Drosophila melanogaster: one gene and its partners. The protein of the gene in region 4 interacts with the protein of the main gene of each other region in a pairwise test. Each region holds a gene or a part of one and is shown on either strand. Other genes may lie near its edges. The genes, in order: Lmpt, CG43691, CG12985 and Rlip.

The links.
Region 1: the proteins of Rlip (region 4) and Lmpt interact in a two-hybrid assay, tested with the Drosophila melanogaster proteins (one large-scale study listed by BioGRID).
Region 2: the proteins of Rlip (region 4) and CG43691 interact in a two-hybrid assay, tested with the Drosophila melanogaster proteins (one large-scale study listed by BioGRID).
Region 3: the proteins of Rlip (region 4) and CG12985 interact in a two-hybrid assay, tested with the Drosophila melanogaster proteins (one large-scale study listed by BioGRID).

Annotation. Positions count from the first base shown.
Region 1 is NT_037436.4:16,897,805-16,902,459, forward strand, and holds the start of Lmpt (limpet), read left to right. Parts: upstream 1-1,610; 5' UTR 1,611-2,248; coding exon 2,249-4,264; intron 4,265-4,324; coding exon 4,325-4,387; intron 4,388-4,573; coding exon 4,574-4,655.
Region 2 is NT_033778.4:13,388,962-13,395,023, forward strand, and holds CG43691 (uncharacterized protein), read right to left. Parts: upstream 4,401-6,062; 5' UTR 4,258-4,400; coding exon 1,564-4,257; intron 1,489-1,563; coding exon 892-1,488; 3' UTR 534-891; downstream 1-533. Other genes in the region: CG4744 (uncharacterized protein), read right to left, coding at 5,782-6,062.
Region 3 is NC_004354.4:17,882,147-17,885,792, reverse strand, and holds CG12985 (uncharacterized protein), read right to left. Parts: upstream 2,076-3,646; 5' UTR 1,986-2,075; coding exon 1,318-1,985; intron 1,154-1,317; coding exon 709-1,153; 3' UTR 555-708; downstream 1-554.
Region 4 is NT_033777.3:21,015,856-21,021,253, reverse strand, and holds Rlip (Ral interacting protein), read right to left. Parts: upstream 3,571-5,398; 5' UTR 3,477-3,570; coding exon 3,380-3,476; intron 3,313-3,379; coding exon 3,180-3,312; intron 3,125-3,179; coding exon 2,240-3,124; intron 1,810-2,239; coding exon 1,047-1,809; 3' UTR 501-1,046; downstream 1-500. Other genes in the region: CG5697 (uncharacterized protein), read right to left, coding at 4,495-4,753, 4,827-4,969. UniProt on the Drosophila melanogaster protein: Participates in receptor endocytosis during interphase, is also involved in mitotic processes when endocytosis is switched off.

The DNA of each region.
Region 1 (4,655 bases), on a different chromosome or scaffold from region 4:
AGTTCACGTTTATTGCATAGGTGCGGCAATCGCCCTTTCCAAAGGTTATGGCATTTTCATTGAACTTCACTTGGCTGCCTGTGGGAGTCGGGGATCCCGGGGATATCTATCCTCCAGCTCCGCAAATGCAGCGACTCGCGAGTGGCGATGGCAACAAAGAAATGAAGGCAGTTCATTGGCAGCACTGGCTGTTGACGCGTTGTCATCCGTCGAGCGGAAGTTCATTGCGAGTGAGCCGGAAATTTGTGGCATTCGGTTAAGGTTAGAGATTGCTAAAAATTGCTGCAGGTATTCGCAATTTGTTATTGATGTGCACAAACTGCTTTAGCTCGATTGAAAATATCCTTTATCCATTTATTTTGATTTTAAATAGATTGGGGGTGTAATATGCAAGTAAATAAATTTTTTTTATATGCGTGTTGATCGATTTTTAATTAGAAAATGTTGGATAAAGAAATTGCATTGTCTGTCGCCTTTCGGTGTTATTGTACAAAAAACCATGTTTAAATTTATTCAAAATAAATTTAAATTACCATCAGAAACACTTTCGCTTTCGTTGCGAAAAGCAAAATAAACATATGAATATATCAGAGCCCAGATGACCCATTTATTCATATAAATCTATCTATTTTTGCCACAATTTCTAATGACAATCAGATGATGAGAATAAACAAAAGAATACAAAAATAGTTTGGCTTTGTGGGGCAAAGAACACAATTATGCCGCGTTTGACAATAATTATACTGATTCTGAAAACGCAGAAGAGAACCACAGCGAAATCGGCGATAAAGAGCCTCTGAAAGCTGCTGGCAATGTTAGTGTCAGTGCCAAGACGAAATTTATGGCAAACATTTGTGTGCAATCCGCTCGGAGGCGGCGAAATGGGGCGTGGCGACCCTGGCCCCAGGCGCTGGCAATGCCAAAGAAAACTGATTTGCAAACACCAGGAACAGTAAAAGTCATGCCCATAAGAATTACGAATGCTAAAATATATTTTTCCCACTTTCGAGAATACCAAATTTTATTGGCAAAATAAACAAAAGAATTGGGCATTTTATAAACAAAATTGTATCTCAACATTGTACTCTTAAATGTTATTTTTTCTAAAATCGGAGATACGATGTGACCATTAATGCCAAATTAAGCATTTTTATGGAAATTGGCACCTTAGCTCTGTATATTATTGCAGCCAACTGTGCGTCTGAATAATATGTGTGGTATGCAGTATAGAAAGATCATGTTTTTCAGAAAATACTTGATTTTTTATTATTTTAAAATATCAAAAGAAACATTTTCTGATTAATTTTGATAAATTGAATTTTTAAACCTGAATAAAAGGATAGGAAAGAAAAGATCCCTAAATCTTGATACTTGCTTGAGATTAAAAAACTCTTCATTATGTTATCGAAATGACAGTTGCATTTGATTTTCCCTATCCGATTTATGGTCATGTCGCTAACTGTTCTCCCGCACGAAAACGGCGAGCAAAGCAGAAAGTGGCGAAAAGTGTTTTGTGGAAAACAGCAATCGAAGCATAGACCAAAAATAGTTCCCCCCAAACGAAAAGGGGGCGCGGCCGGCGGGGTGTCGACTAAACTGATTAGAAAATCGGCTTTGGCCAATTCCGATTGCTTTGGCATTTGACACGGAGGCAAGGCAGTGCAACAACGGCAGCGGACAGAAGCAGATACATTTGTGTTGCCAAATTGCCAGCGACAAAAGTCGGCGATGTCTTGTCAGCTCTACAGGCCTTTTGCTCTCATCGCTGGCCGTCAATTAGCGCCGTTTGCCATTTGAACGGATTCGGTTCTTGGCGGTTCTCTCGCCGCTGATTCACTTGTTCTCTAGAAATCGGGGGACCCATGGGCATTGGCTGGGGCATTAATCAGTTGCAAGACGATCGATTAGCGGAAAACAAGAGCTCGCCGCCCGAGCAACTGCATCCGCCTGGCGAGTCCGCCCATCTCCGATTCTTCTTGCTTCGCGCTCTCATAAATCGTCTCAAAACGTAGATAAATGAATATATATCGATGATTGGTTCAATGATTTGTGAGCGAAAGTGAAATAAATATTTTTCGAATTACCTAATCGGCTGGCCATTAACGTGAGTGGTGTGAATTTTCGAGTGCGTGGTGAATATATTTTATATAATACGTGTTAGCCGATTCGGTTCTCGTCGACACATACTCTCATTGCATCGGCGAACGTTGGAGGATTCGGATTCCGTTTCGATTCTGGTCATTACGCAATGGCCGCTGAGGAGACGGCGCTAACCGGCGTCGGCGAGCTACTATTCTCGCTGCTAATTGGATACCTAGGTGCCCTGGAATTCGCCTTTGTGGCGCGCCATCTATACCACTGGACTTTCCAACATCCCGGCGATTCTTCTGTAGATGCAGCAGCTGACGCAGAAGAATTGCCTCGCATGCGAGAGCGATTGGATAAGCAGATCAAGGAGGCGGCGGAAAGGGAAGCCCTGGCAGGAACCAATGTCATGCAGGATGGTGTCCTATATGTCAATGGAATACGAGTAGATCCTGCTGGAGATAAAAGACAAGCTTTGGCAGCCGAACTGGCACGTCAACAGCAAATTGAAGCCGATACGAGGCGTCAGCTGGCCGAAGCCGAGGCCAAGCTGGTAGAAGAAAGACTACGAGTCCAGAGGGAGAAAGAGGAATCGGAGGAGCAGCAGAGAAAGCTCGTAGAGGCGGAAAGACAGCGCGAAAGAGAGCAGGCGGAGAAAGAACTGCAGGAACAAAGAGAAGCCGAACGCAGACAGCTAGAAGCAGAAGAAAATCAGCGTAAACAGCGCGAAAACGAGGAGAAAGAACGCCTAGAAAACGAAAGAAGGCTGATAGATGCCGAACGGGAAAGGGAGGAGAATGAGCGAAGACTGCAAGAAGCTGAAGAGCAGCGCGAGCGAGAAGAAAGCGAAAGAAGAATCGTCGTGGCAGAGCGTCAGAGAGAGCAGGCCGAAGCCGAAAAGGAGCGAGCCGAACAACAAAGGATCCTGGCTGAAGCCGAGGCAGCGCAAGCCGAGCGTCGTCTCTTTGATGCCGAGATTCAGCGAGAGCGCGATCAAGCTGACGAAGAAGGGCAAGCACTGAGGGATGCGGAGATCGTAGAGCGTCTTCTGGCAGCAGAAAGAGAGCTCAGTCCAAGCGCTACAGAGAGCGAACTGGAGGAGGATGCTGCCATCGCAGAGCAGTCGCGTCGCCTGATCTCCAGCAGAACTGATCTGGAGCAAAAACAGCGAATGATTGAGGAAAACGCCAGACGCTTTCTTGAGGCAGAAGAGGAGATGGTAATGTTACAACAGCGCCAACTTCAAGCCTCACACAGCAAAGAGGAGGCAGACGAGTATGCTGGCATGGAACCCGTGGTGGAGGAGCTGTGTGTGAAGAAAGTGGCTCCACCCAGGTTTCAGGAGCCTCCAGAAGAACCCATGGTGCATAAAGTGAAAACTCAATTTGGTCAAGGAAGTGGTCCTGAAGACGCCTACTCAGCAAAGTCAAAAACACTCACCTTCCCTGGCGTATCGGATGAAGGATCCTCTCTTGAACCCAAAACTCCGTTCTCCATCCAGCAGTCGTCCTTCAGCACGCAGCCCTCTGATGAGGGCAACAGAATCGAAAGTGAACGCCCAGAACCTGAAGGAGAAGATCAGATACAGGAAGTCCAGTACACCGAGGACTACCTTCGTTCTCTAGATGGCATTAAGAATCGTCCTTTGATGCGAGAGGATGGTTCAGGGAGAAGAAGGGCTTTTAAGAAGCGACGATCCAGTGGAAGCTCGAACTCCTCGCGGGAATCGCGAGCCTCCCGCGACGAAGAACTAAAGATGTTCACCTCGCTAGAGGAGGAGGAGTTGCGCCACGGCGACCGAGAGGACTATAACCCCATCAAGTATACGAGCGAACCTACCCTGAGGGTTAAATCCCACCGACGTCACAAAAGGAGTCCAGCAAAGGATGTTAGACCAACGGCAGAGTCGACCACATCCTTAGAGATGCTCGGTGAGGAGAGCACAAATCCCTGGGGTGAGGTTGTGCCGGAGCATTATAAGGATACCGAGTTTTGGAAGCGGGAAAAAGCGCTCTCCATAGACGAGGAGGAAATCGAACTAGAAAGACCATCCAGGGGAGAGGATGTGGAGGAAGAAGCTACAAATGAGCCAAAATCGTCCTCCTTTGAAGAGGCCACTGAGGCACAAAACGAACAGGCAGTGGCTGCCCTAAAACAACAACTTTCCAAGGAGCAGTTGGTGAGTAAATGAATCTACAAGCCGAGGATCTATATCAATGATTTATTATGTGTGTGTTAGGACAAAGAAGCGGAGAAGGACAACCCGCAAGCAGTGGATACCAGCGACAGCAACAAATCCAATGTAAGTGCGTAGCACAGACACCTGGCATCATTTCTCACCCAATAATTTCGACCACAACCTAATCCACCAATCGCAGACACCACTGCCGCATAACTAACTGTCCTAACTGCTTTACCTCTTTGCTTTTCATATTGCTACTGCTCCCACATTCCGCTTGCTTTTCCGCTTCACCTTTCCCCCAAAAAGCTGCAAACCTCTATCGCAGCAGAGGAGCAATCAAGGGGTGGTTCACCTGGCTTGCGACGCAGTCCACGTATGGATGAAATGG
Region 2 (6,062 bases), on a different chromosome or scaffold from region 4:
TTACTCGAAGGAATTTATTCGGTCACAAGTTATATATAAAATGAAAAAAGAAAAATAAGCAGATTTGTAAGAGCAAGAACTAGATTAACAAATATTAGGATTTCCAAATGCAGTCTTACAAGCTTTATAAATCAGTAAGTAATATCCACTGATCTGGTATAAAAATACATAAAATGTCCTAAATTAAATGAGAATATCCTTACTGAAGAACCAATAACATTGTAAGCACAGTTCCATTTTAATTGCAACAATTTTGAAATATAGGATCTGTTACTCGGAAAATTCCTTGAGAGCCTGCCTGATCTTCGGCCAATCGGCGGCTGTGTAGTTAAGCGTTTTCATTTATGAAAATGTCTGAAACATGTTTCGCTTGCGCAAACAGAATGCGAGTGCGAGTATGCAATAAAATTCCATTACAGCAATGGCTCGACTTAAAAACTTGGCCGAAAAAAAAAGGAGGCAAGATGAAATTTCGTTGCATGAGCGAGAAGTCGTGGCAGGAGCATCGGGGGGAGCAGTGGGTGGAGCAGCAAGGGGATAAGGAACACGACCAGGAGAAGGAGCATCCTGCAAGTGTATTAAAAGCCCGCAGACATTTTCTCTCTACGTGAGTGCATCGCATGAGCTTGGCCCTGTTTGTTGGTGTGCAATGTGTGTGTGTGTGTGTGTGCAAAAGTCCTTGCATATTTTATGAAACTTGGCAAAGCATTTAACAACACAGGCACACCCACAGACAGAGGCAAACTCATTACTTGAATTTATTTAGCACTTAAACCAAATGTTTCATTCGCCTCAGCCGGCTGATTTGGTGGTGCTCATATCCGTGCATATCCGGAGTTTAGTTACCACTTTGGTGGCTTCAAAAGTACTCAGCACTCCTTGTCGCCCCTGCTAAGGATCAAAACTTCTGGTATTCTTAAGGATCCCGCGTGGGCAGCAAAATGCCGGGCACTCGGGAGCAGTAGGTACGGTGCCCTTAATCCGCTTTAGAAGCTTGGTCTTCCGCTCATTCATGGGTAACTGTGAGCAAAGATGCCCCTTTTTATGGACATAGCCACAGCGTGTGCAAAGGTCCTCGAGCGTGTTGATTAGCAGCTTGTTCTTGGCACAGGCTTCTATGGATCCGCTGGACAAGATCTCGCAGCTGGACGAGGACGACATGGAGAACGGGGTAGTGGGCGCGGGCACAGGCACCTTTACTCCACACCGAGGACACTTGTCCAGGATCATCGAATCACCAATTTTCTCAACTTGGCCTTCGCATGCCAAACACTCTGCGGAACAGGAGATCTTCTGCAGGCGACAAGTTTTTCGGGGTGAGTAGTAAAGTTCCTCGATGGGCCTAAGATCTTTGCTCCTCTTCCTTGCCGTAAAAGTGGTGGAACGGAATTTAGGACGCCTAAATTGTGCAGAGGTATACAATTCTTCGACTTTTCCCTTCATCTTCTTGTGGACCAACTGCTCCACTCGCGATTTGCGATCCAAAGCCTGAAAGAAAGAATAAAAATGTATTTCGAAGATGTTATTTTATAACTTTTTGGCGGTTGAGTATAGTTAACCCACCTGAAACATCAGCTGGTGCTGGTTCATCATGCTCCTAATGTTGTGTAGCGAGTAGCGCCACTCGATGTCCCGCACATCCTGCTCCTCGTTGGCCGCCAGATCCAAGCTGTTGTTGAAGCTTATAGTTGATCCAAAGGTGCTGCTAAAGCGTCTTCTCTTACGCTCCTCGCGCTCCAATCGTTCTGCATTGAGCTCCTGCTCGAGGAGTTTATTGTACATTCCGCCGTTCATCTTGATTTCCTGCGACTGGCGTGAGCTGTGAGATGGGTCAATTTTGCTCGTCCTTATTCCCCGCATGCCGAAGGGAATGAGCCGTGTGCTGACCCGCTTCCTAGACCACCAGTTTCGCTCCATAAACTTTTCCACCTCTTTCTTCTGTTTGGCTTTCATAGATTCGGTTTCCAAAACGTTAAGCATATTGTCCCGCGGCGGTTCCATTCGTGCATAGTTCTTCTCGGTCACTATTTCGTTAAGATACTCCAAGTACTTTTTGGCCAGACTTTCCTTAATTTGCGTTAACGTAACTCCTGCATCTGTGAGTTCGTTGTAGAGACTCTGAAGATGGGACCACATTTCATGGTTAGCTACTTCCTGCATAAGTCCATTAACATCGGCAATATACTCGATAACTTCGTTTCTTTGTATGACGTCCTTAAGGAGGAACTGCAAGTGTTTGAATTTGGCATCTGAGCGTAGATCTTTCAAATGAAACCGTTCGAATTCGAACTCTTTGACGTAGGGCTTTGGGGCATTTTCTGTTTTGTCGTGGCGATCTCGCACCGGTGCAAGGAGTTTTTCAAGATCATCTGGCAGCGCATCATATTTAAATTTATTTTTGGATGTCGATTTCGAAGATAGATGACCAAAAACTTGGCTTTGGGATTTAGTCGGATAAATACCAACTTGGGTATCGGAAGCCCTTCGTGGAAGATGCCTGTTCGATTGGTTCCCTCTGTGCAGAGCTGATTCGCTGGCTGTAATCCTAGATACACCCATATGCTCGCTGTTTGTAGGAAGGTACATGATATCCTTCTTCAAAGACTGATAGTGACTTTCCTCTTGACCTCTTGGAGGAGCAACGCGGATCTTCTTGGGTATGATGGGTGGCATGCGAATAGATTTACGGGTAAATTTTCGGTTTCGATTGCCCATAACTAATTTATTCAGTGATTCAGTGAGGGACGCAACGCTATCCCTTTTGAATAACACATGAGAACCACTCCTCTCGGCAGATAATTCGGGTCGGTCTTTGATTACGTAAACGCTGCTCGTACTGGAAAGCTTTTTGTGCTTATCCGACTTAGTGGCCACTTTTTCGGATCCGATGAAAACCTCTTTGGACGCAATCGAACTACTCGAACTAGAAGCTTGAAGTTTGTCACGTAGTTTTTTCCTATTTCTTCTCTCAATATCACGCCTCATATATAGGGGTATATCATTATATAATCTTTCGAGTACATTTTCTTGCTTTTCCAAGTCTCTTTTTTCCTTTTCCTGTTGAAAAGTTTCAGCTTCTTTAGTTTTTCCATGACGATTGCCCCTTTTCTTTGCCTTTGTCTCTAAAAGTGCATTTAATTCGTCTTTAATTACCCTATCCACATAGTGCATTTTACGCTTTCGAAGTTTAGGTCTTGTTACCTTGAATTTAATGATTTTCGGATCTGGAACATTTCTGGGAGCTCGTCCGCTTTTCACAATTCTTTTTATTCGTACTTTTGGGTTTAAAGTTGTAATATCGGAGATTTTGTCAAAATCAAATTTGGGGTTTCTTATGGCTTTTCTGTTAATTTTCGGGTTTTTAATAACTATCTTTTTCCAGTTGAAGCTGATTAGTTCCCTTATCAACATTTTCAGTTCCTCTAAAGATGGTTTTAATGGATCATGTTTCTTTGGCTTTCGAATGTCCTTCCGAATTCTTTTCAATTTTTTCCGAATAACAAGTTCATCTAAGCTGATATATAATTTTTTTCTTTTCCACAATTTCTTCTTTGATTTCCTAGTTTTATCATGTGCTGTATCTACTGGCACGTTTCTTCCTCTCATGGCCCTTTGTTTATTGATCATAGCGTTTGTTTGCAACACTTCAGTTTTCCAAAATTTAGCAAAGTCCTCGATTTCGAAATCCTTTTTAACCCTGCCACGGCTTAGCTTTCGTGGTCGCCTTCCCCGAACCTCCGATAAATAGTTTCGAACCTCCAGTGCCTCTGCCTCCCAGATCTTGTCCTGATCCTTGACGTGTTCGTAGTAATCCGGTTTCTTTTGCCACTTCCTAACTGCCTTGAACAGTCGATGGAAGCACTTGTCGACCAAGTTCTTTGGATTGCGGACTTTCTTCAACTGCCTCCTCAAGTGTCGAAGTTTGCGACGCATTCCCACTTTTACATGCTCCTGGTGCCGAATTAGCTGACTTTGTAACCTTAAAGCTTTTGACCAGCTGCGCAGCCAATGCTTGTACATGGAAAGCATACCGCCCACCGCCCTCCGTGTCTGCTCCCTCTTCTTCTGCTCCGCATCCCGCTGCCGGTGATCTATGGAGTTCCTCATCCTGTCGAGCAGATGGTCACGGATCCTTCTCATCACCTGAAGGCGGCGGTGGGCGTGACGCTTTCGCAGACGCAACTCCTTCGCCTTCCGCCGGATCTGCTTCTTCAGCAGCACCATCTGGGTGCTCCGGTGGAGCAGGGGCACTTGCATCGCGTACTAATCGAATTTGATCCCTTATCCTCTGAATTGTGTATACAAAGAATACCAATTAACTAGATTTTTAAACAGTCTTAAATGTCATGAAATGTCATAAAAAATTTAAAAGCTAACTCTATTAAAATTTGAACTTACTCATTGGCAAATATGTTATTATAAATTGAATTCAAATTGATTTTATTTTAAAATTCTTGTTTTATTATATATAAATTCATAAATATATTTAATTAAAATTGTCTTCAAAATAAACCCTTAAAGAGTTTGCAAATCACCGGCAAGTAGTTTCAAGGGGATGCACAATCTCTTATCAGACGGTGTGAACCACCTGGTCATTCGGGGATCCCAGTGCGAAACATTGCTCAGCTTACAGATAAGGCATCACAAATCTTCCATCTATAAATTGGTATTCATTGTCGGTTTCGATGGGAAGCCCCACTCAGAGATAGATTGCTATATAATTCACGGTGACCAGATCCCAGCATCGTCAGTCAACAGTCAGCCGCTTAGTCAAGTAGATCGAAAATCAAGAGATTAATACAGCAAGATGAGCAAAATTGTTCTCCTAATTGTGGTCATCGTTGGCGTACTTGGCTCCCTTGCGGTGGCCTTGCCCCAACGTCCGTATACCCAGCCACTGATCTCCACCACCGACGCCACCCAGAATCTACAGGGCACGTCGCCAGGTGTTGGGTGGATCACTCACATCCAATCCGAGTGGCGGTGCCGATGCCCGATTGGACCTAAGCAAGGCCGTTGGAACTCCCGATCACCATGTTATTGGACAAGTGTTCGCAGCGGGCAACACGCAGACCAAACCGGTATCCACTCCCGTAACCAGCGGCGCCACCCTGGGCTACAACAAGTGAGTCTCTTAAAGGATTACGATCTGAGCAATAGCGAAACTAATCTTATTTTTCATGAGCAGTCATGGACACGGCCTGGAACTGACCAAAACCCATACGCCCGGTGTGCGGGATAGCTTCCAGCAAACGGCCACCGCCAATTTGTTCAACAACGGTGTTCACAATCTGGATGCCAAGGCATTTGCCTCGCAGAATCAGCTTGCCAATGGCTTCAAGTTCGATAGAAATGAAGCTGCACTGGACTACTCCCACATCAAAGGTCATGGAGCTACCCTGACGCACGCCAATATTCCCGGATTGGGTAAGCAATTGGAGCTGGGTGGGCGTGCCAATCTTTGGCAGTCGCAGGATCGCAACACAAGGCTAGATCTGGGCAGCACGGCATCCAAGTGGACAAGTGGACCCTTCAAGGGCCAGACCGATCTGGGTGCCAATCTGGGACTCTCGCACTACTTTGGATAAAACTATATTCTTAAAAATATTTTACAATAACTAAGTGTTATTCAAAATATTTATTGACATAAATTCAAACGAATTTTGTTGCTTATTTCAAATGTGTTAAAAATATATGACTTAACTCAAACAAAGGGAATTTTTAATTGAAAAAAACAACTAATGAATTGAAACAAAAATCTAAAACGTTGATTAAAGCGGTCTAAAGACCCACAAATGCCTTGGCCTGCTGCTCGCCCGCCTCCTTATAAAGCTCCGCCGTCTTTAGCAGTTTTATAAAACGCGGTGAGTACTCGGTGGTTAGACTCTTTTCCAGGACCTCGTCCAGGCTGGTCTGTTTGAGCACCTCCTGCAAACGGGCGTTACGTTGATTGCGCTCTGCGGATTCGGCCATCTTCTGGAGATAAACCAGATCCAGGAGCAATTCATCACGCACTCCAACCGCCGCCTGTTGATCCTCCATCGGTAGATCCTCGTACTGTC
Region 3 (3,646 bases), on a different chromosome or scaffold from region 4:
CTTCTCACTCTCTTCCGTTTCGAGTTCCATGAAGCGACGCCAAAATAGCAATAAAAACAACGACGCAACAGAGCCGCAAAAGGTGGCAACCCTGCTTGCGTTGCACTTTTTACACCCAACCGCCCACAATTTTTCCAAAAAACAAATACATAAGGGAAAAGGAGGAAAAATCCAAACAGCTGGCAGCCTCGCATTGGCAGCTGTGATTTTCATTCGTTCTTCCGCTGGACAAGATGGCTTTTCCACACTATCTCCTTCTCTATTCCCCCTCCCACTCTCCTTCTCCTCTTTGCGATCGTGTTTCGTTGCGTCTTGGCCTTGCACTCATTTCCCATTGTTATTGTTTATTTCGCAAGAATTACGACACTGTCAGGCGAATTTGTTGGTAAACAATTGTGTATTGAAGCAGCTACGGTGGTCACTCGATACGGGGAAGATCTTTAATATGTACATAACTGACAATACATTAATGATTTGTAATGATATGTGCAAGCTATTTAGTACGATCTTAAAAGTAGGAAATAAATTAACAAGAAAACAAGGATTATACAACTCGCATTTAGGTAATACTTCATATTTACGCTCAAAAAGTGAAACTGAAATTGTTGAAAAATCTCGAAACTCTTATCCAAATAGAGTTAAAATAATTTGCAGCGTTTAGAAAAACAGAATTGTGGACGTAGCATCCGTTAGTAGGGAGCGCATTTGTTAGTACGAGTGATCCCCGTACAGTGAATTCCCTTGATAGCGATCCAGTCCGTTCAGGATTTTCTCCCGCCGCATTCGCTGTTGCTGCCGTCGGCGCTGCCTGTAGAGATCCAGGAGAGCATTGCAGGTGTTCCTGTCGAGTGCGTAACCGCGCGCTCCATTGGCCCTTATGGCGACAGTGGGTAGGCGGTGAACCGACGACTTGTACAGCAAACTGCCGGTGCCGACCTTTTGCTTGGCCTCCACGGCGGCGGATGCGGCGCGACAGGCCGCCTCCTTCACCTGCTCGTACTCCGACTTAGCTTGCGCCACCTGGCGGGCCAGGCGGTCACCACGTGCCTTCGCCGCCGCCAGCATTTGGTTCTTCTCCTCGATATCCATGTTCGACTGGTCGATTAGGCTGTCCATTTCCGACAAAATGCCACTCGTCTGCTGTACGAGGGCCCTGAAAACATTAGTAATCGAAAAAGCATTGATATTAAAAATCGATATGTTATCGCTGGTAGATATTATGATAGATATAACGATATAATTGTTCCGCTTTTAAATTGTGTAGATAGTTGGATGGATTGTGAACAATATTGAATATTGAATATTTATCAATTATACCTGAATGTTTCGGCTTGAACCTCCGCTGCTTTGACCACGGCACAGGAGGCCTCCACGTTCGTCTCACTGTTCTGCAGCGAGCAGCTCACCTGTCCGACCACCTCCTCGGCATCCCGGATCTCCCTAGCGTAGTTGTCCACCATTGCCTGTTTGCCCTCGAGCACCGCATCGGCGGCACGGGCAGCGGAGATGGCCTTTTCCGCCAGCTGCATCTTCGCCTGCCGCGATGCATCTTGAGCGGCGGCCGCCTGTGCATCATTGGCTGCCTTGGCCACCTGGGCGGCATTCTGGGCAATGTGGGTGGCCTTCAGCCGCGAATTGATAATCTCGTCACAGGAGTCACAGTTGTCCCTATCTCTAATATTATTCCTGTCTTTGTCCCGATCCCTGTTTCTATCGCAACCCCTATTTCGATCCCAATCTCGGCCTCGATCCCGATCAATATTGCGATCTTTTTCTCGGTCCCTAGCGCTTTCGTCCATGCTTTCACATCCAGATTGGTAGGACGGTCTTGTGGTGCATCCCAGATAAGGGAATGGCACCACTGTGGCCCCCGAACTACCATTCCCATCGCCGTTGAAGCCCTGGGGAGATATGTCATCGTTGGTGTTGTCCAAATAGCTAGCCAGGGAGGCGTCGTGTTCGTTGTGGGGCTGGTCGAAGCTCATCGCACGGACACTCACAATGCGGAGGATGATAAGGAGCAGGGTATATGGTGGAAATATATACATTTTGAATCCGGAATTTGAGGAAAGCGACTCAGGCTGCTGCTTTCAAAACTACTAGATATTCCATAGAATATATACATATTTCAGGGTATTTTGCGATTCTTTACAGTTGGCTGGCTTTCTAGTACTTTCGCATAGTATCAGTTTAATTGATGATGGGAACCCCTTAACTTACCGTCTAAAAGAGCTAGAACGTATTTGTGAAACGGAAAAGCAATTGTTTGCCCTTTAACGATTTTTTAATTGAGCTGAGTGGTTGCCCATACTTTTCCACCAGCGCTTTTCCAGCTTTCCCATTTCCCATTGTCCTGCAGGATAAATGGCTGCCATAGCGATGGGTAATCAGCACCTCAGTTGGCAGCTTTCGCACCTTGCTCACCTTTCGCACCTTCTTTCTCCCTTTGCCCAATGCAGTGTAAATGCGTATCAAGAATACTTCATTAGTGCCCAATTGCGGCGCAATTGCGACGCTGACGCAGCCAACTGGCTGGCTAACTAAGTATCTAACTAGCTAGCGGCTAGCTGACTAACTAGCTAGCTGGTTAGCTGACTAGCAAGCACGTGTGGCGAGCGGAGAAAGGGTAGAAAGCGGCATAGGTGTGGGTGGGCTGGGAAAAGTCGCACTTTATCACAACAAACCAGATGCTAAGCACGTGCTGCCATTTGTTTTGGTTATTATTATTGTGATTCCAGTCTCTAATCAGTGCGGCCAAATAAATAAGTGTGCGGAAAACAGAAACCATGAATGCAGTTAACTGGCGGTGGGGAAAACGCCACCTGGCGGAAGTAATATCAACAATTGCAACGATCTGTAGATACAGATTCATAGATACATAGATAGCGCTATAATAGATATTTGCGTATTTTTCATTTACACTGAATATACTAACATTTATTCCGTGAGAGAATTCAAATTCTTCGTTGAAATTACGCATAAAAGTCAGGGAAAACATGCTATCCGCATAATTGATTTAAGATTCAAGATGAGTTATTTGAAAGATGAAATTCCATAGATGCAGAGGAAAAAAACGTTTTTCGGGCAACACATTATTAAGTGAAATTCATGCCGGCCATTCAGTTCCTTTGTTATATATATATATATATATATATATGTACATACATGGTATATAGTATCGTTATTGTAGTCTTCTTGTTCTTGTTCTTCCTGCATTCATTATCATTGTTGTTGTTGCTGCCGACTGGTCACCAGTTTACTGCAGTCTGCTTGCGAAACTGAAATTTTCAATGCCACTGTCAAAGCTGCGACGTCATCCGTCATCAATGAATGCGCAGTTTTCAATTACCATACAAAATACAAAACAGTCAGTACAGTGGCGGAAATAGGGAATGATACGGCCATGTTCTCTATAAGAAAGTTGCAAAATGGCAGAACGTTCAATTCAATTGACAGCAAGTGTGCAAGGGAAATCATACACTTGTTTTCCAATGTGATCTTATGAGTATCGCAAACTATGAAAATATGGTATCGTTCGCTCGAATAGATTTAGAGACTTTATAATACAAACCAAATGCTCATTTTATGTTCTTTTTGATTTATAGAGAAGTAAATTTAATCATTGCCAACATCATTTATGTTTTAT
Region 4 (5,398 bases):
ATCTGTAGTCCAGCGGAAATAACTTAATCATGGAGGGGAGCGAGTTGACGCGGTTTGGCATTCCGGAGGACTCATCTTTCCCCCGTGGTATTTGTGTGTGATATTTTTAAGTTGTACTTCAGCGGAATACAGAAAACACGCCCCGAACGTAATGCATAATGATAATGTATTCTAAAATTATTAATAATAAATATTAAATAAAGTAATCGTAACACGCAAAGCCCACCTCGGTTCCTTGACCATCACAATGTTGACAAGACGTAATATGAGATGATGTCATTTCCGTTTCACCCCAGCGAACAGCCAATCCGTCGTCTAAACATCTTCTAATCTGTGCCCTGTATTTCTCGGATTGGAATTAAGTCATCAGACCGATTTAGAAAATCGGATCTTGATTGTCGGCACACACAAACGCAGCTACTTTACCGGCATTTACAAAATTCTTCGAGGAGACATATTTCGATGCAATAGTTCAGTACAGAAAAGGGAATTTTGAGTTTGTTTTCTCATTTAATTGTTGAAAGCAGTAAAGTTGTCTAACAAGATTTCTTTGGGGCTTTGCGCCGTTTAACAGTAATTATAGTTTGAACAAAGCATTTGATCGCAAGTAGACATTGAGATTTAAAATTGGTAACCCTATATACATACATATATTTCGGTGGGTCAAGTCTGAAACTAGCTCATTTCCAAATAAACAATAAACTGACTTTAGGCATGAGGAATCCGTTTTATGTTTTAGCAGTATTTTATCTCCTTAAAAGCTGAACTGAAAATTCTCATATATTGCAATTCACAAAGGACACTGTTTAGAACAGTGACTACGTTTGCAGATAAATGAATTATCAAAAACTTTACAAGTTTATTCATTTGAATATTTTAGATATGTGACATAGAATTGTCTTCTACGAATCTAAGAAACCTCCTATGATTGCCTAGTAGACCTTTTATGTTTCTTTGGAAATGTGACCATTAAGTTTCCGGAATAGGAACTTAGTTATATCCCTCAAATTGACCCATCCAAGTAATACATTAATCGAATTAATACATTAAAACTGCTGGAGCCGCAGCTCAACTTGTAGAGCAATACAGGCCCGTCGTTCCTCCTTTAGTTCCATGCCCAGCATATTCTTCTTGTGCTCCAGCAGCGCATTCTCCCGTGTATAGTGCTCGATTATCCGCTCATAGTCGGATTCTGGGGGAGCCTGAGATCCCGAGGCCAAGGAGGCCATTTGACTGTTTATTGACTGCTGCTCGTACAGCTGCTTGAGCCTATAGACTTCGTTGCGCTCGGCGACGATACGTGCTTTTAGTTCGTTCTGCCATTCCATTAGCTCGTCATATTCAATTTGGAGCCGCAGCAAATTTTCGCGGTGCGGATTTGATTTGGGGAGCAAAATAAAGCCAGTGCTGGGATCAATAGTAAAATCGTTAGGAGCATCTTTCGGAGTTAGTGTATCGGTTTTTGGCTCTTCCTGGGAAATACTGTTGTTCGTAGATACGGCTGGAGTTCCAGCTGGTTTGGAGTCAGTGGTATCTTCACTGGCTACAGCGGGCGGAGCACTGCTGCTGTTGTCTACTTCCTCCGCAGTCTTTTCCTGTTTCTTCTCAAAAGTTCGTAGTTTCCGCTTCAGCTGGGTAATGATGCGCTGCACTTCCCACAGCTGTTCCTCGCGTTTCTTGGTAATGAACCCGGCGTTCATCTCGCTGTGGATCTGGGACAGGAGGCTGTCCTGCTTGCGCAACTCCGTCTGGATGTCCTCCGGCGTATCCGGAAGCTTTGGGCTGGTCGATGTTAAAGGGGGCACATACCTAAGAGATGACAATTTAGTATTATGATAACTTTGTTTAAATGTGTGCCATTCTGCCTGATTAGAAAACTGGCGAAACGTGGAAAGCGCTTCTGTTTACGGGGTAATGTGCTCATCGTCGGTTGCAAAATAAACGACTAAATCTGGCGATTTTTATAGCAGCAATCTTATCAACTGCCAACAGTGGTGGGAATTATCTGGGTTCTTATAAGTACCTATTATACATATAAAAAAACAATTTATATCATTAGATAAATATGGAAACTAACAGTTTACTAAAACTAACAGTTTAGTAGTTAACTTCAGAGCTATGACTTCGATTCGTTCTTGTGATTTAACTATAGTTGTTAAATGTGGACTTCTCTTTTACCAACACAAAGGTACTTGGATATTTCCCACCACTGTTATCCGGCTAGCCGGTGTTTGCTCACTTTATCAGCTGGACGTCCGCGAACAAGTTGTTGCAGTGGCAGAGTAGGGCCACCATTAGTCGGTGAGACATCTGGAGCGTCGGACTGAGCAGCATAGCCAGCGACTGAGCGTTGAGCTTATTGTGTCTTTCCTGCTGGATCACCGCGTCGAAGTGGAGCAGCACCCACGCCAAGAGGGTGCGATTGCACTTGGGCAATTGTTCAAGCAGCTGCTGCAGCTCTGCCTGCTGCGTGGTTACCTTCGGATGAGAGGCTACCTCCTCAAAGCGGGCCACCAGATCGGTGGTCAGCAGTGGCTCCGGCAGTTCGCGCAGGAAGAGCTTCAGCAGACTGCAGGCGGTAGGCAGGTTGAGCTCATCAACGGCGGAGTCGTGCTCCCGGTTGTTGTACAACCGCTTGAAGTGCATCAGACGCGTCTTGATGGGCTCAATCTTGTAGATCTGCTCACACTTCAGGTGATCCTGCAGGAAGTCGATGCAGTCGCGCACAACCAGGGGAATGTCCACGCCGTCGTGGCAGCGGGATCGTTCGGTCGCCAAGCTAACGGACACCCCAAAGACGGGATACCCAAGTGCCAGCACTTCCTCCGCGGCGGAGACGTCGTCCTGCTGCTGCGACAGCTGCTTGCTCTTCTTATCCTTTTTGTCCTTCTTGTCAGCCTTCTTGTCCTTTTCCTTGCGCTTCTCCTCCTTGTCCTTCTTCTTGGGCTCATCACGGTCCTTCTCCTTATCCCGCTCTTTCTCCTTGACCTTGTGGGAGACGGAAGGCTCCTCCTCTGCGTGCTTCGAGTCTTTTTCAGACTTGTCCCGCGACTTTTCCCGCTTCTCCTTGCTCTTGGAGCTGGTGAACTTAAAGGTCTTTGACTTTTTCGACTTGGATGGACTTCTGGAAGTAAAAGAAAAAATATTACTTGTCTCTGGGTCAGCTGACCTGCACCCACTTGGTGTCCAGCTCCTCCTCCGGCGAGCTCTCGCCCTCCAGAGCGGCGTATCCTCGATCCTTGCCCTTTTCCTTCTTGTCCTTGCGCCGGCCAATCAACAAGTCCTTCTTGCTATGGTCGTGATCCTCACTAACTGTAAAGGCAAGGTGAGCCCATTGATTTTTTCCCAGCTTACGCCCACATCTTTGCGCTCCACTCACAGTCGCTCTCCTCCTTGCTCTTCCTCGACTTAGCGTCCGCCGCCTCGGAGGCGTACAGCCCGGGAAACTCCTTCTCCTCGGGACTGTCAAAATCCATCACGAATAATCACTTCACCAGCAGTAAATAAATATAAACAATTGCCGTAAACAACATATGCAACAAATAATCGATTGCTTAATCGAAGTCGCCGCTGCTATCCAACACTGATAAGTGCACAGATGGCGCTACTGTGTCATGTAAAAAATATGTAGTAACGGTGTAGATATTTAAAAAAAGGCAAATTGAAACAAGAGAAAACGCTACAGTCGAGTTCCTCAACTATCAGAAATGCGATCAGCTACTAACTCTTAAATTTTTATAATATTAATATATATATATATATATATATATAATAAATAAATAAATAAATATGTGTTAATATATAATATAATAATAATAATATTTTAAATAATTTAAATTCTAAGAAAATATTTTTTATATATATACATAAACTACATAATACATAAAACTTCCAAAATGACAAGAGTACCACCTCTGTAACTACAGGATTTTGTTAATTGTGCGCGCTAGTGTGGGCGTGGTGAAAATGTTTTTTCACAAGTATACAAATTGCCAAGACTATTTATAAAATAAAACTAAATCAAACCATTTTTTCAGGGTGGGGCTGTAAAACTATAAGGCGGTTTGTTAACTTCTAAACTCCCAGAAACCGAAACCAGAATACAGCGATGAAAAAAAACTATTCGTTTATTAGTTTAAGTAATATTCATATATATATATGTATATATATAAAAATTAATAAGTTTGCGATACAATGTTCTTAATTGGTACGGAAACGCTTCCTTATACCTTTTGCATTCTTTTTACTTTACGAGTAGGCGGTTGTGTAGCAAATAAGTTAATCAGTATAATTATTTCACGACCAATCAATCCCGCGGTGCATCGCTTATCACTCAGCTTGAGTAGGGGTAAACAGTAGAGAGGAGGAGGATTAGGTCGCCTCCATTACCGGCAAGCCAAACAAATGCTAATAGTGCGAGCTGATGCGGCTGATGCAATTCCGCAGGGTGGATTGCGGCATCTCCAAAATGCTACACAGATTAGCTTACGGCCACTATAAACTGGCCATCAGCAGCTGGGAGCCGTTGAGAGCCAAGGATAGTGGCGTGGCCATCGTTGTCGTGGTGGTCGCGTTTCTGCTAATTGCTCTATTTGGGAGACAGACACTGTCGGAATAGGCCATAACCAGTCCAGCAATCAGGGTCAGCAGGAAAGTCAGGCCCAGGAGCCCGCAGCTGAGGCGCCGTACGGCCTGCCACCAGGGATCCAGAGCGAAGGGCAGGAGCTCCTCGAGCGTCAGTCCGTAGGAATAGCTACGAAAGAAGCGGGCAGGCGGCACTGTGTAACGAAGTTATTTTTTAATGAAATACGACGGAAAGCGTTTACTCAGCAGTTGTGAAAATGGGCTCATAATCCTTTGGATCCTTCCCCGTCGCGGGCACGACAATGATGTGCTGCTGCTGCCGCTGCTGCCGCTGCTGATGTCCTTGTTGCGTTGCCAGAAGCGCTGTCTTCTCGTTGCAGGACATATTTGCCGTGTGGTACCCTGGATGTGTGCCGAACAAGAGGGTATACGCAGTTTATGTAACTTTATCTGTAACAAGAAGTGAAAATAATAATAATAATGAATAATGATTTATTCAAATGACTGATAATTTATATATGATAACTGTGACATGTATCTTTCGTTTTTTTTTTGTCAATACCACCAAAGTTGCCGTAGCCCCTTGCAGGCACGACAGATAACTATAGATGGGAACTGGGTATTTTACAGTCCTTTTTCAGCCCTTCTCACGGGATAGTACCAGGATTGCAAACACTCCCGGCTGGAAATTGCTCCATTCGCAACTGGCGGACTACTGGCGACTGGCTTCGTTCTGTCGCAACTTTAATTAGCTTGCAGCTGGGTTGTCTCTCTGTCCCATTGCTTTATTGCCATTGCTGTTTGTCTTTGTGCT